Linked DNA regions of Arabidopsis thaliana. The protein of the gene in region 1 interacts with the protein of each later gene in a pairwise test. Each region holds a gene or a part of one and is shown on either strand. Other genes may lie near its edges.

Region 1 (5,062 bases):
TTTGTCCGGTTTTTGTTTTCTCGCCTAAGTGCGAGCTTCTGTTAGCCTTTATGGCTTTTTTTTTTAATTTGTATAGTTTTGATCCACCTTTTGCATATCTTAAATCTTAGAAGCTGAGTGTCTAATTCAGAATCTTGTAGACCATTCGTTGCTCAATTCTGAGTAAGAAAAGAATAAAGCCTTCATTCCCATGTTGGCACCATAATCTGGTAACGATGAAGGTGCCTCTTTAAGATCGTGAATTGTGTTGAGTGGAGCTTTGGTGGCCGGCGTAGAACAGTTCAGGAGAGTGTGTTTTGCAACTGATCTGCCCTCTTGCTATGTCGCGTGTTCCAGAGTTTAATAATTATGATGGTTCAAATTTCAACGACGGACTAGGTAATTTCGATCGACGGTTCAACTCAAGATGGCGGTGATGAGTCATATCGGCATCTTTTCTCATCCAACATGCGCAAGAACAGATAATTAAACACGTGTCCCTTCTAAACCTAGTTTAATCTCAAGTTGTAATCTTTCTATTGGGTTTGTAGTTGGACTTTATAATTGTGTTGTTGGGCTTTATTTACCATGTACTCTTTCTTAAAAATTAATGAAATTGACGTTAAAAAAAAAACAATTTAATTTATTAATAATCTTTTAAGAATATTATCAATATATTTTATTAATTAAAATCTATTCCCTTAACTTTTGATATATCAAAAACAAAAATATTGGAGGTAAAAAGAAACAAATGTTTATTTCTTATAAATATCACAGAGAAATCAAGACAATATATGACAAAAAATCAGATTATACTACTATTACTAAAAAACAAGATATTACAAAACAACCAAGGACAAAGTTACAGGTTACAACAAAGGAGAGAGCTACAAAACCCAAAATTATGGGCACAATACAAATACAAGTATCAAGTATCAAAGTCTGAAACCAGAGAGAGAACCATTCATAGGTCTCTTGACTTATTAAGAATCCAATAGCTTTTGAATCAATCTTCATTCTCTTCTCTTTCTCTAGGCACAGCACCAAATTCTTTGATCAGAATCTCAGCCACCAATGGAACCAACTCCGTGACACGAACACCTTTCTTATAGATCTCTCCGATATGCGAGTCACTTCCTATTCGTCCCCCGACGTACACGTCAGCACCCTCGACTGGCTTTCCTTCCTCGCCTCGTGTTAAGCATCCCATGAATCCGATATCTGCTACTTGGACTTGTCCGCAAGTGTTGGGACATCCTGTCCAATGCATCCTTATCGGTCTTGGCACAGATACAAGTCTCTCTACTTCTTCTGTCACTTTTAAAGCTCTTAGCTTAGTCTCGATTATCGCTTGTCCGCAGAACTGGCTACCGGTACAAGCAACTAAGCCTTTCATTAGGATAGATGGTTCAGGGGAGAAACGGTTCTTGAGAAACGGCTCTTGAAGCAAAGCTTCGGTTTTCGAGGTTTCTACATTTGGGATGATGATGTTTTGCTCTACTGTGAGTCTTAGCTCACCTGACCCGTAGGTATCAGCTAACCGAGCAAGCTCATCCATGTCATCAGCTTGTAGCCTACCAACCGGAACGTGAAGCCCCACGAAGCTAAGACCTTCTTGTTTCTGAGGGTTGACTCCGAAATAGTCTCTCCTCTCCCACTGTTTGTTCACAAGATCCTCTGAAGATCCTCTCTCGAGTTTCCCATTTGGCATTCTCTTCTCTACCTCAGTTCTAAATCCTTCAACACCCTATACATTTCATGCAGACAAATCAACAACCAAGAACTTCAATACCGAATTTAAGATTGCAAGAAGCATGTACTTACAAGTTCGTCGATAAGCCACATCATTCTTGTCTTCTGTCGGTTTCCTCGAGTTCCAAGATCTCTGTAAGCCTCTAGAACAGCTTTGCAGAGTGGAAGAACGTCATCAGCAGGGACCCAAGCATCAAGAGGAATCGCTTCTTCACATCTTTTGGGACTAAAGAATCCTCCCACAAGCAAATTGAATCCAAACCGTCCATCTTTATTAGCAGGCATGTAGGCCAAATCATTGATATGTGGATGCTCATAGAGATCATGAGTCCCCACCACACACACATTCCACTTTCTTGGCCTACAACAAACAAACAAAAACCCATCTTAGCATAACCATTCACTCACCAACACACAACATCAATCTAAAAAGAGAACTCACAAGTTGGTGAAATCGGGGTTTCCTTGTGAATTAGCGGTGATAAACTGCGAAAGGAGATTCGTGTAAGGCCTCGTGTCAACAATCTCCTCCGGATCAATCCCAGCTATAGGATTCCCAACCGGGTTCCTCACGTTATCCATACCACTTTGAAGACTCGTTAAACCAACAGAAGCAAGACCTTTCAAGATCTCAGGCACATCAGGCAACACAACACCACGGATCTGCCAATTCTGTCTAGTAGTCACATCAGCACACCCATCTTCACCATACTTCCTAATCACACTCGCTAAATACCGAGTCTGTGCACTTGTAGTCACACCATTTGGTAACTTCAACCTCATCATAAACTTCCCATCTACAACAACAAAATCAACAACAAGCACTCATAAATCAAAATGTACTAAAGATAAAGAGTAAAGACTAAACCTTTACACAATCTGGTCACCAATTTAATCACAAGTCATTGAAAGAAGCACACATAAGACTAAAGACGAAACCTTTACACAGTTCAATCACAAGTCAATGGAAGAGGATAGAGAGGAGGAACATACACTGATGCTTTCTACGGTGAAAGAGACCAAGCCACTTGAGTCTAACATCAATATCATCTTTAGAAGACTTTTCACTATCAAGCTCTTCCATAGATTTCTTAGCAAGCTCTTCAATACCATTCTCCATAAACAACTTCATGGGCTCTCTCTCGATCTTAACCTTCTCCTGAGGATTGATCCCTTTTCGAAACTTCTCCTTGAGAATAAAAAAACCATCTTTCAACTCAACTCTTGGCTCGAGACGATCTGCGTCAACAGAGGCGGTGGATTCGGCCGGAGCTGTGGTCTGAGCGGCGGCGACAAGGACGGATCTTTTGGGTTTGGTGGAGGAGGAAGGGAGGAGAGGAGATGTGAAAGTGAGAGAGAAAGAAGTCATGATGATGGCGGAAGAAGGAGTTGGGAGAAGGTTGGAGACGTGCGGCCATTTTTGTAGAGGGAAGAGATGAGCTCTTGAGCAATGTAAAGGGTCAAGTTGTTTCTCTTTGATCGTATGTTGCGAGGAGGAAACAGACACCTTCTGATTTCTATTTGTTTTATTCTTTCTAAATTTATTTGAAACTATTTAAATTGTGTTTATTTATACTATATGATTCACTTAGTCTATTGACTTCATTTTTTTGTCATAGAAAATTAATTAAAACTCAAAACAAAACTTAAAATGTTATTTACAAATGTTATGATATGGTAGGATTGTTTGTTTTAATATTTGTACTATAAAAAACTAAAATTAAAAAAAAATATATTAATTCTTCAATGTCGTTTTCAAATACACTCAGAAGACCAACCATTTGGTTGGAAAAAAACTATTTTTATCATATCTGAACAGTCTGTAAAAAATATGACATATTAGTTATTGACACCGACCATACACTTCATTAATAATAAAAGAGATTCGATTTTTGCATGTAGGGAGATAGATTTCATATTAAGTTTGTCACTCCCATACTAAAGAGAAATACTAAAGAGAAACATTGGAAAAAAAATTAGCAGTGATTAGTATGAGATATTTATTTCATAATTTGAATGTTTATAGTATTATTACTTTTTAATTTTTTAATATATTTAAAAAATGATAACTACATACATATATGAATTTCAATGAATAGGATAACATCCAAGTTTCCGCATATTACATACTACAAAAAAATACAACAATTTTCATATTCATACTTTAGTATTCTTAAGTTTTAATCACTACTAATTATGAATTTATGGTAATGTTGCTTAACATATGTTCTTTTCAACTATATTTGTTGATCTTAATCTAACTCTGTTTTTTTTTTAAATGGTTTCCTCTTGAGATGTTAATTTTTGGTTTAGTGCGTGTTTGGAAAAAAGGTTTATTAGAGAAGATTCAAGGTTGATGTGGTCATTAGGGATTTTATAGATATCATTTTTCACAAAATATAATAAGGTAAAAAAGGTTGATGTGCTCATTAGGGATTTTATAGGTATCATTTTTCACAAAATATCATAAGGTAAAAATATCTTGATTAAACAACTAAGACAAGTTGTGTAGCATTTAGTCGTGTGCAATTATGAATGGACTACTTTAAATAAAATAAATGTAAATATTAATAATATGTTATCAGAGCCATAGGTGTTCTTTAGCGTTATTCTAGAGACATGAATCAAACTACCTGCAGGTTCAAACATCATCGCAAGTCGCAACGTCTTCTTTCTTGTCCACACCAAAACGTTAGCATTGTCTTTTTTTTTCTAATTTATATTTCTTTTCTATAGATTATTCGCACAATCGTTTTCAACTTATATGTATCATCTTCCTGCAATTTAGTATACATCGAGGTGACAACATTATGTTTGGTTATTAAAATTCATATATTGTCATTTTTAATTATATAAAAAATTAACAAAATTTATACTATAAACATTCAAATTATGAACTAAATATCTCATATTAATCACTGCTATTTTTTATGTTTATATGAATTTGCATATCCATACATATTATAGTACATAAAACATTTATACTATGAACATTTATAGCTTTTTTGTACATATATGAATTTCAATGAATAGGCTTGTTATAATTTTGTTATTTTTTTCTGAATTGTTTATGGCTTTAGGGTTAATTATCCAAAATTTAACATTTATTTAGAAATTAAAATAAAATTTAGCTTACAAAGAATTAATTTATCATATTGGAATTGAAAAATAGCTAGTGGCTCTTGTAGCTTTTAAAATCTTAAGGACATAACGTATGACTTCTCACGATGTCTAAGAAACAAAACCTTCCCCGGTTCGGCCTAAACCGCCATCCATCCAAATTATTCTCCACCGCTATTCCACGTGTGGCTTCCACACTCCTGTTCCTATA
Region 2 (6,426 bases), on another chromosome or scaffold:
TAGACATTACCAGCGTTTAGCTGAGATTGCTGTGACGGCTTTGGAGCAACGTCCGTTAGGTGACGGTAACGTGAGGAGAGCTAAACGCGCGTTGGCGAATCTCGTCGTCGCGTTGAGTCTCGAGGATAAAGAGAATGTTAGCGGCGGAGGTGGTGGCGGCGGCGGAGGGAATAAGACGACGGAGAGATCGTGGTCGTTTGGTCGTCGAAGCGGTGGATCATCGGCGGCGAGTAAAGGAGGAGCAACGATTGGTCAGCTCAAATCGTCGTCGTGGGCGGTTGGGAGAAATTGGTCGGCGGCGAAGCAGATCCACGCAATGACAGCGAATCTTACGCCGCCACGTGGTAACGAAGCGGCGGGATTGCCTCAACCAATGTTTATAATGAGTACGGTGATGGTTTTCGTAATGTGGGTGCTAACGGCGGCGGTTCCGTGTCAGGAGAGATCAGGATTAGCGAATCATTTACCAGTGCCGCCGAAACATTTGAATTGGGCTCAGAGTTTGATCGGAATCCATGAGAAAATCGGAGATGAGTGGAAGAAGAAAGAGAAGAAAGGATCTGCTGGATTGATGGAGGAGATGACGAGGATGGAGAAGCTAGGTCACTCGTTGATGGAATTCGCAGATGGATTTCATTATCCGGCGGAGAAAGATGCTGCTGAATCTGCGGCGGTGCAAGTGGCGGAGATGGCGGAGATATGCAGGAGAATGGAGGAGGAGCTTGTGCCGTTACAGCAACAGATCAGAGAAGTTTTTCATAGGATCGTGAGGAGTCGTGCGGAGATTCTCGAGGTGTTGGAGCAAGCCGGGAAAGTTTCGGCGCCAGTTGTGTAAAAGTTTTGAATTATTGGGAATCAATTTCGAAGTTTTGTAATTCTTTGGGGGCTAATAGGATATTTTATTTTCTTGGTTTCGTCTATTGTTGTTTTTCTATTTATGGTTGGGCTTTTAGAACTCTGGACAGGCCCATGTCATATGTTTTCCCTTCTCCTTATATTTTTCATTTTTCATTTTGTTAAATTAATGCATAATATCCAAAAACAATTTAAATTTTTGAAGGAACCCTTTAGTTACGGCTCCGAAGCTTTCACAAGTGAGAATGTGAGATCAAAGAAGGCAAATGGAGGATTTTAAAAGTTAAAATCATCTTTTATCTGCAAAAGTTGACAATTTTTTTGTATCAAATCTAAATCATCAAACTCTCTTAAACTACAAGAGCATAACAACCTCTATGTAATCCATGAAATAATCTGCTTGAAGGACATAACATAAATCATTATGGCTAGAGTGACTAACTTCAATCAAATCCTCTTAACTCTAGCTCCCTTACAATGGTATCGTAAAACATTATGCATTAGGGATTGTTGTCCTAGGAAAATAAAATAAAAATCCCCACAGACCAACTACCATTTTAACTTAAAAATAAGCTTCGTCCGCGACGAATTGTTTTCCATCCTAAAAATAGAATGGTGTAATCTGCTAATGGTTTAGTTCCATTAACTTGCAAGTTCTATTGAAAGCCTAAATGTCAATAAAGATATTAAAATTCGGAGTCAAAAGACAAATGAATCAAAAGCAACAAGACAAGTCAGCTCCATTCTTCACTACCCATCTTTTACAATAAATCATCTCTCTTTTCACAAATTTCAAACTACTCTCATTGCCCTTTAGCTTTGTTATAGAGCCAACACTACAGAGAGACTCACACACTTGTTTCAATAATTAAATCTGAATTTGGCTCTTCTTATAAACTAATGTCTGCAGGTCTTCTTATCTCTCTCACTCACCACCATCTTCTTCCTCGATTGTCAAAACCCTAGATCGAAATCTTATCTCTCTAATCTGTTGTTACAGTTCGTAGAGTCATGGCGTTAGCATCAACCACGTTGCCGACGAAGTCCGGATTATCTCTTTGGTGTCCGTCTTCTCCGTCTCTCGCTCGCCGATTTCCCGCTCGTTTTTCTCCGATCGGTTCTAGAATCGCTTCCAGAAGCCTCGTCACTGCTTCGTTCGCTAACGAGAATCGCGAGTTCGTATATATAATTCTTCCAATTTTGATTCTGGCGTTGATGAATTTCTATGCGATTGATTGTGTGATTGTGTTAGGTTTGTGATTGTTGGTGGAGGAAATGCTGCTGGTTATGCTGCTAGAACTTTTGTGGAAAATGGAATGGCTGATGGTCGGCTATGCATTGTGACCAAAGAGGTGATTCAAATCGATCCCTTAGTGTTTTCTTCATCAGTAACACTATTGGTTTTACTTTGTTTGATTGTTGGATTTGTGGTTGTTATTGTTAGGCTTACGCACCTTATGAGAGACCGGCTTTGACAAAAGCTTACTTGTTCCCACCAGAGAAGAAGCCAGCTCGTTTACCAGTAAGCTTTGCCAACTTTAATGTTTTGATTCGATCAATTTGAGTGGTTCTTTTAGTGCTATTGCTCTTAATTGGCTACATGAACATTATGGAATGAGTACCGGTAGATTGTTTACAGTGTTACGATTGTTACTGATATGAAGATTTGTATGATTTAGTTTTGTGATCTCTGTTTATATTGAGGGTGGTCGTATATGCAGGGATTTCATACTTGCGTTGGAGGTGGTGGAGAAAGGCAAACACCAGATTGGTATAAGGAGAAAGGAATTGAGGTAATTCATCTTCTGATACATAGTTTTGTTTTCTAAAATATATGAATGTAAGTGAAGTGTCTTTGGTTTGATTAACTGTACAGCTTGGAATGTACGTCGGTGAATTTGTGGTCTTCTCTTGTGTCTTACTAATGCATTTTGTTTGGACAGGTAATATATGAAGATCCAGTGGCTGGAGCTGATTTTGAAAAGCAAACACTCACCACAGACGCAGGGAAGCAGTTAAAATATGGATCTCTAATTATCGCTACAGGGTGTACAGCCTCAAGGTGAGTGAAAGTCGCATTTTTTTTGCAATGATTGATAAACAACATCAGAGAACCTAGGCCTTTTCAACCATGTATACTGATATTATGAATATTTGCTCTGGATTTTTATTGTAGGTTCCCAGATAAAATCGGTGGGCACTTGCCAGGGGTTCACTATATTCGGGAGGTTGCAGATGCTGATTCACTGATAGCATCTCTGGTAAGCTAAGGGCATTTTTACCAGTTACCAGTTTTGTCATCTTAATGCAATGTTGTAATATGCGTCATCAGAAAAATCCAAATTTCCTGGCTACAAAATAACCTTCCAATATGTGATACAGGGAAAGGCAAAGAAAATTGTCATTGTTGGTGGTGGCTACATCGGCATGGAGGTTGCTGCTGCAGCTGTTGCGTGGAATCTAGATACAACGGTTATTATCCCTTTCACTTGAATTTTTAAATTGTGCTAGAAATGAAGAATACTTCTAATCATTCGATGAGTTAAACAAATTCCTAGAAACGTTCAGATAAATTGTGGAACAGATGTACTAACTTACAGTTGCTTTTGGGCTTTCCCATGTGGAACAATAGATTGTATTCCCTGAAGATCAGCTTTTGCAAAGATTGTTCACTCCATCGCTTGCTCAGAAATATGAAGAACTGTACCGTCAAAATGGTGTTAAGTTTGTCAAGGTAAGATATCAGCACACGATCAACACCTTATACTGAAGCCTTTGCTTTCCTGCAAACCTAAGAATTTCAGAAACACAGTGTGCAAACTTGAATTTCTCTTTCTGTTGAACAGGGCGCTTCCATAAATAACTTGGAAGCAGGTTCGGATGGGCGTGTATCAGCTGTTAAGCTTGCTGATGGGTCTACAATTGAGGCAGACACGGTATAGTTGTAGCTCAGCTTCACTTTTTTCTTTCTCAAATGATGCAAATTCAACAACTTTGATCAAATGAAAACTGTGAAGGGTCAATGTAATACTGACTTTTGTACGACCTGTGTATCCTTACTTTACAGGTTGTAATTGGAATTGGAGCTAAGCCTGCTATTGGCCCCTTTGAAACTTTGGCCATGAACAAATCAATTGGAGGAATTCAGGTATTATTATTACAAAACATCCGGATTTATTTTCCAAGATAATCGGTTTTCAGAGTTAGAACTTCACAAGAAACTACATCAGTATGTTGATACAATTAAAAGTTTGATAAGAGCTCATCTTCAACCACAGGTCGATGGCTTGTTCAGGACAAGTACCCCTGGAATTTTTGCTATTGGAGATGTCGCAGCCTTCCCTTTGAAGGTACTTTGCTGCTAGATAATATATGTTAAGCCATCAATTATCTCGTGAAGTGCAAACTCATCATCTTATTGTCTGATGACCAGATATATGATAGGATGACTCGAGTTGAACATGTTGATCACGCCCGCCGCTCTGCACAACACTGTGTGAAATCACTACTCACGGCACACACTGACACGTAAGCTTCTTCCCTGGAAAGATCTGTAGACTTTGCCTGTATCCCTTAACGGATATTCACCTATTAGTTCTTGTCTTGCTCAATATTTGCAGGTACGATTATCTTCCATATTTCTACTCAAGAGTATTCGAGTATGAAGGAAGCCCAAGAAAAGTGTGGTGGCAGTTTTTCGGAGATAATGGTAAATCTATTTGACCTAAATATGACGCCATCCAATTACTCAAACAATATTTCCACTGTAGCTAAACCACTGATTCATACTGGCCAGTGGGAGAAACAGTGGAGGTTGGGAACTTTGACCCGAAAATCGCTACCTTCTGGATTGAATCTGGTAAATAATTCCTTCAGCCTTTTCTCACTTCAGTTAACCTTGCACAAATACACAGCTTAGCAAATTAACTAACTTTGATGAGTAATTATCGTAACACAGGCAGGTTGAAAGGTGTTCTAGTAGAAAGCGGATCGCCTGAGGTAAGAGTCTTTCTTAGCATCTCCCTCGTTAACATTCTGAATTAGCCAATCTTTAGAGCATCATGCTTCTTTAGATCTGCGAGACTAAAATTAGAATATTTTGGAACGGTCATTGAAACTTGACAATAGCAATTACATCAGCATGGGTTTTGTTTTCATGTAAATATGTTAACTATATGGATTTTAATTGCTTCCATTGTTATGTATATCTCTTGAAACAGGAGTTCCAGCTTCTACCAAAGCTAGCAAGAAGCCAACCACTTGTCGATAAGGCTAAACTCGCAAGCGCATCTTCAGTCGAAGAAGCTCTCGAGATTGCTCAAGCCGCTCTACAGAGTTAGAGAAGGAAACTTCATGGAGTTTTTTTAATAGCTTTTGGGTTCAGAGAAATCAACATCTTTTATTCCCGGTGAGAGTTATTCATCTTTCCATTGGAAAAATGATCTATAGAGAGCACTGTTGTCAATAATCTCCTCGAATAATTTATAACCTCTTTTTGGGATAATCATATTTTGCTCATTAGAGAGCTTTGTTTCTAATAAAATCTATGTTAGTCACTGAGATAGATAAAGATCGTTTTCTCATGATCTATGGGTTGTTTCGTGGATCATTAAAATATTTATTTATTTAGATTTCTTTTATCGACTGTAAACCATAAACGAAATTTGTATAAACAATAATGAAGACTTTGTTATAATTCACGCAAGGATTTGTTTTGCGGCACGTAATAGAGTCTTGTGGGATTGATTGCGACATGTAAAAAGGTTTTTGTAGCCTAAACGCGTTTCATACGCCATAGAAATTTATTTACTGCCTATGAGTTCTACAATTGAGAAAGTGTCAAAGTGGTTATGAATCTATGATAGGTTGGGCTTTTATGATTGGTTATGAATGTTGCAAAATCGTATAAATTTGCGGAATGGTGGGAATAACAAACTAAAAAAATCGTGATTCTGCAGAACCTTGTGGTTGGTAAATATCTATGATAGCCAAGGTTCATCATTGATAGGGGAAATCATTCGGCCAAGATGTCAAAACTGTTATAAACTCTTCTCTAACTCGATCTATATTTTAATATGACATCATTCTTGGATTAACACAAGAGACCATTGTTTTGCAAAAACAACACCCTCGGTTTTTAATGGGTGAAATATTGCAAAATGCAAACAAACGTGTAATGTTGGTAAAACTAAAAAAAACAATTGATGCCAAATCCAATAACAGAAAAAGGCATTGAATGACTCTTTCACTAATAACAAATTTGAAATTGGTATATGACTAATAAAAAAAAAGTTAGAAACAATTAGTAATTATCGACCGTCAGTGCATCATCAGCATTTCACCACTTTGACTAAGAACCAAAGTAAGACCAACAAAAGTAAAGTGAAAGATGAAAAACCAGACGCACTTGTCGCGAGTGAACTCCACGTTCGTTTTTCTCCACTGAAGAAAACAATTTTTATGTTTGTGTATGGCGCGTGTGGTATATCGTATCAGAGCTTTCCTTTTTTAGAACTATCGCTTGTTTATTTTCCTTTCCAAATCAATTCATGTTTTTGCATACAAAAATAA

Evidence for each region.
Region 2: the proteins of NIR1 (region 1) and MDAR6 interact in a two-hybrid assay, tested with the Arabidopsis thaliana proteins (one large-scale study listed by BioGRID).

Annotation. Positions count from the first base shown.
Region 1 is NC_003071.7:6,808,590-6,813,651, reverse strand, and holds NIR1 (nitrite reductase 1), read right to left. Parts: upstream 3,258-5,062; 5' UTR 3,101-3,257; coding exon 2,725-3,100; intron 2,529-2,724; coding exon 2,174-2,528; intron 2,093-2,173; coding exon 1,804-2,092; intron 1,727-1,803; coding exon 986-1,726; 3' UTR 711-985; downstream 1-710. UniProt on the Arabidopsis thaliana protein: Catalyzes the six-electron reduction of nitrite to ammonium.
Region 2 is NC_003070.9:23,728,340-23,734,765, forward strand, and holds MDAR6 (monodehydroascorbate reductase 6), read left to right. Parts: upstream 1-1,535; 5' UTR 1,536-1,755; coding exon 1,756-1,765; exon of another isoform or gene 1,766-1,855; coding exon 1,856-2,030; intron 2,031-2,107; coding exon 2,108-2,207; intron 2,208-2,299; coding exon 2,300-2,377; intron 2,378-2,576; coding exon 2,577-2,648; intron 2,649-2,798; coding exon 2,799-2,917; intron 2,918-3,031; coding exon 3,032-3,116; intron 3,117-3,237; coding exon 3,238-3,327; intron 3,328-3,487; coding exon 3,488-3,589; intron 3,590-3,701; coding exon 3,702-3,791; intron 3,792-3,922; coding exon 3,923-4,003; intron 4,004-4,133; coding exon 4,134-4,205; intron 4,206-4,288; coding exon 4,289-4,383; intron 4,384-4,475; coding exon 4,476-4,564; coding exon of another isoform or gene 4,565-4,578; exon of another isoform or gene 4,579-4,651; coding exon 4,652-4,714; intron 4,715-4,813; coding exon 4,814-4,854; intron 4,855-5,075; coding exon 5,076-5,195; 3' UTR 5,196-5,635; downstream 5,636-6,426. Other genes in the region: ROH1 (uncharacterized protein), read left to right, coding at 1-835. UniProt on the Arabidopsis thaliana protein: Catalyzes the conversion of monodehydroascorbate (MDA) to ascorbate, oxidizing NADH in the process.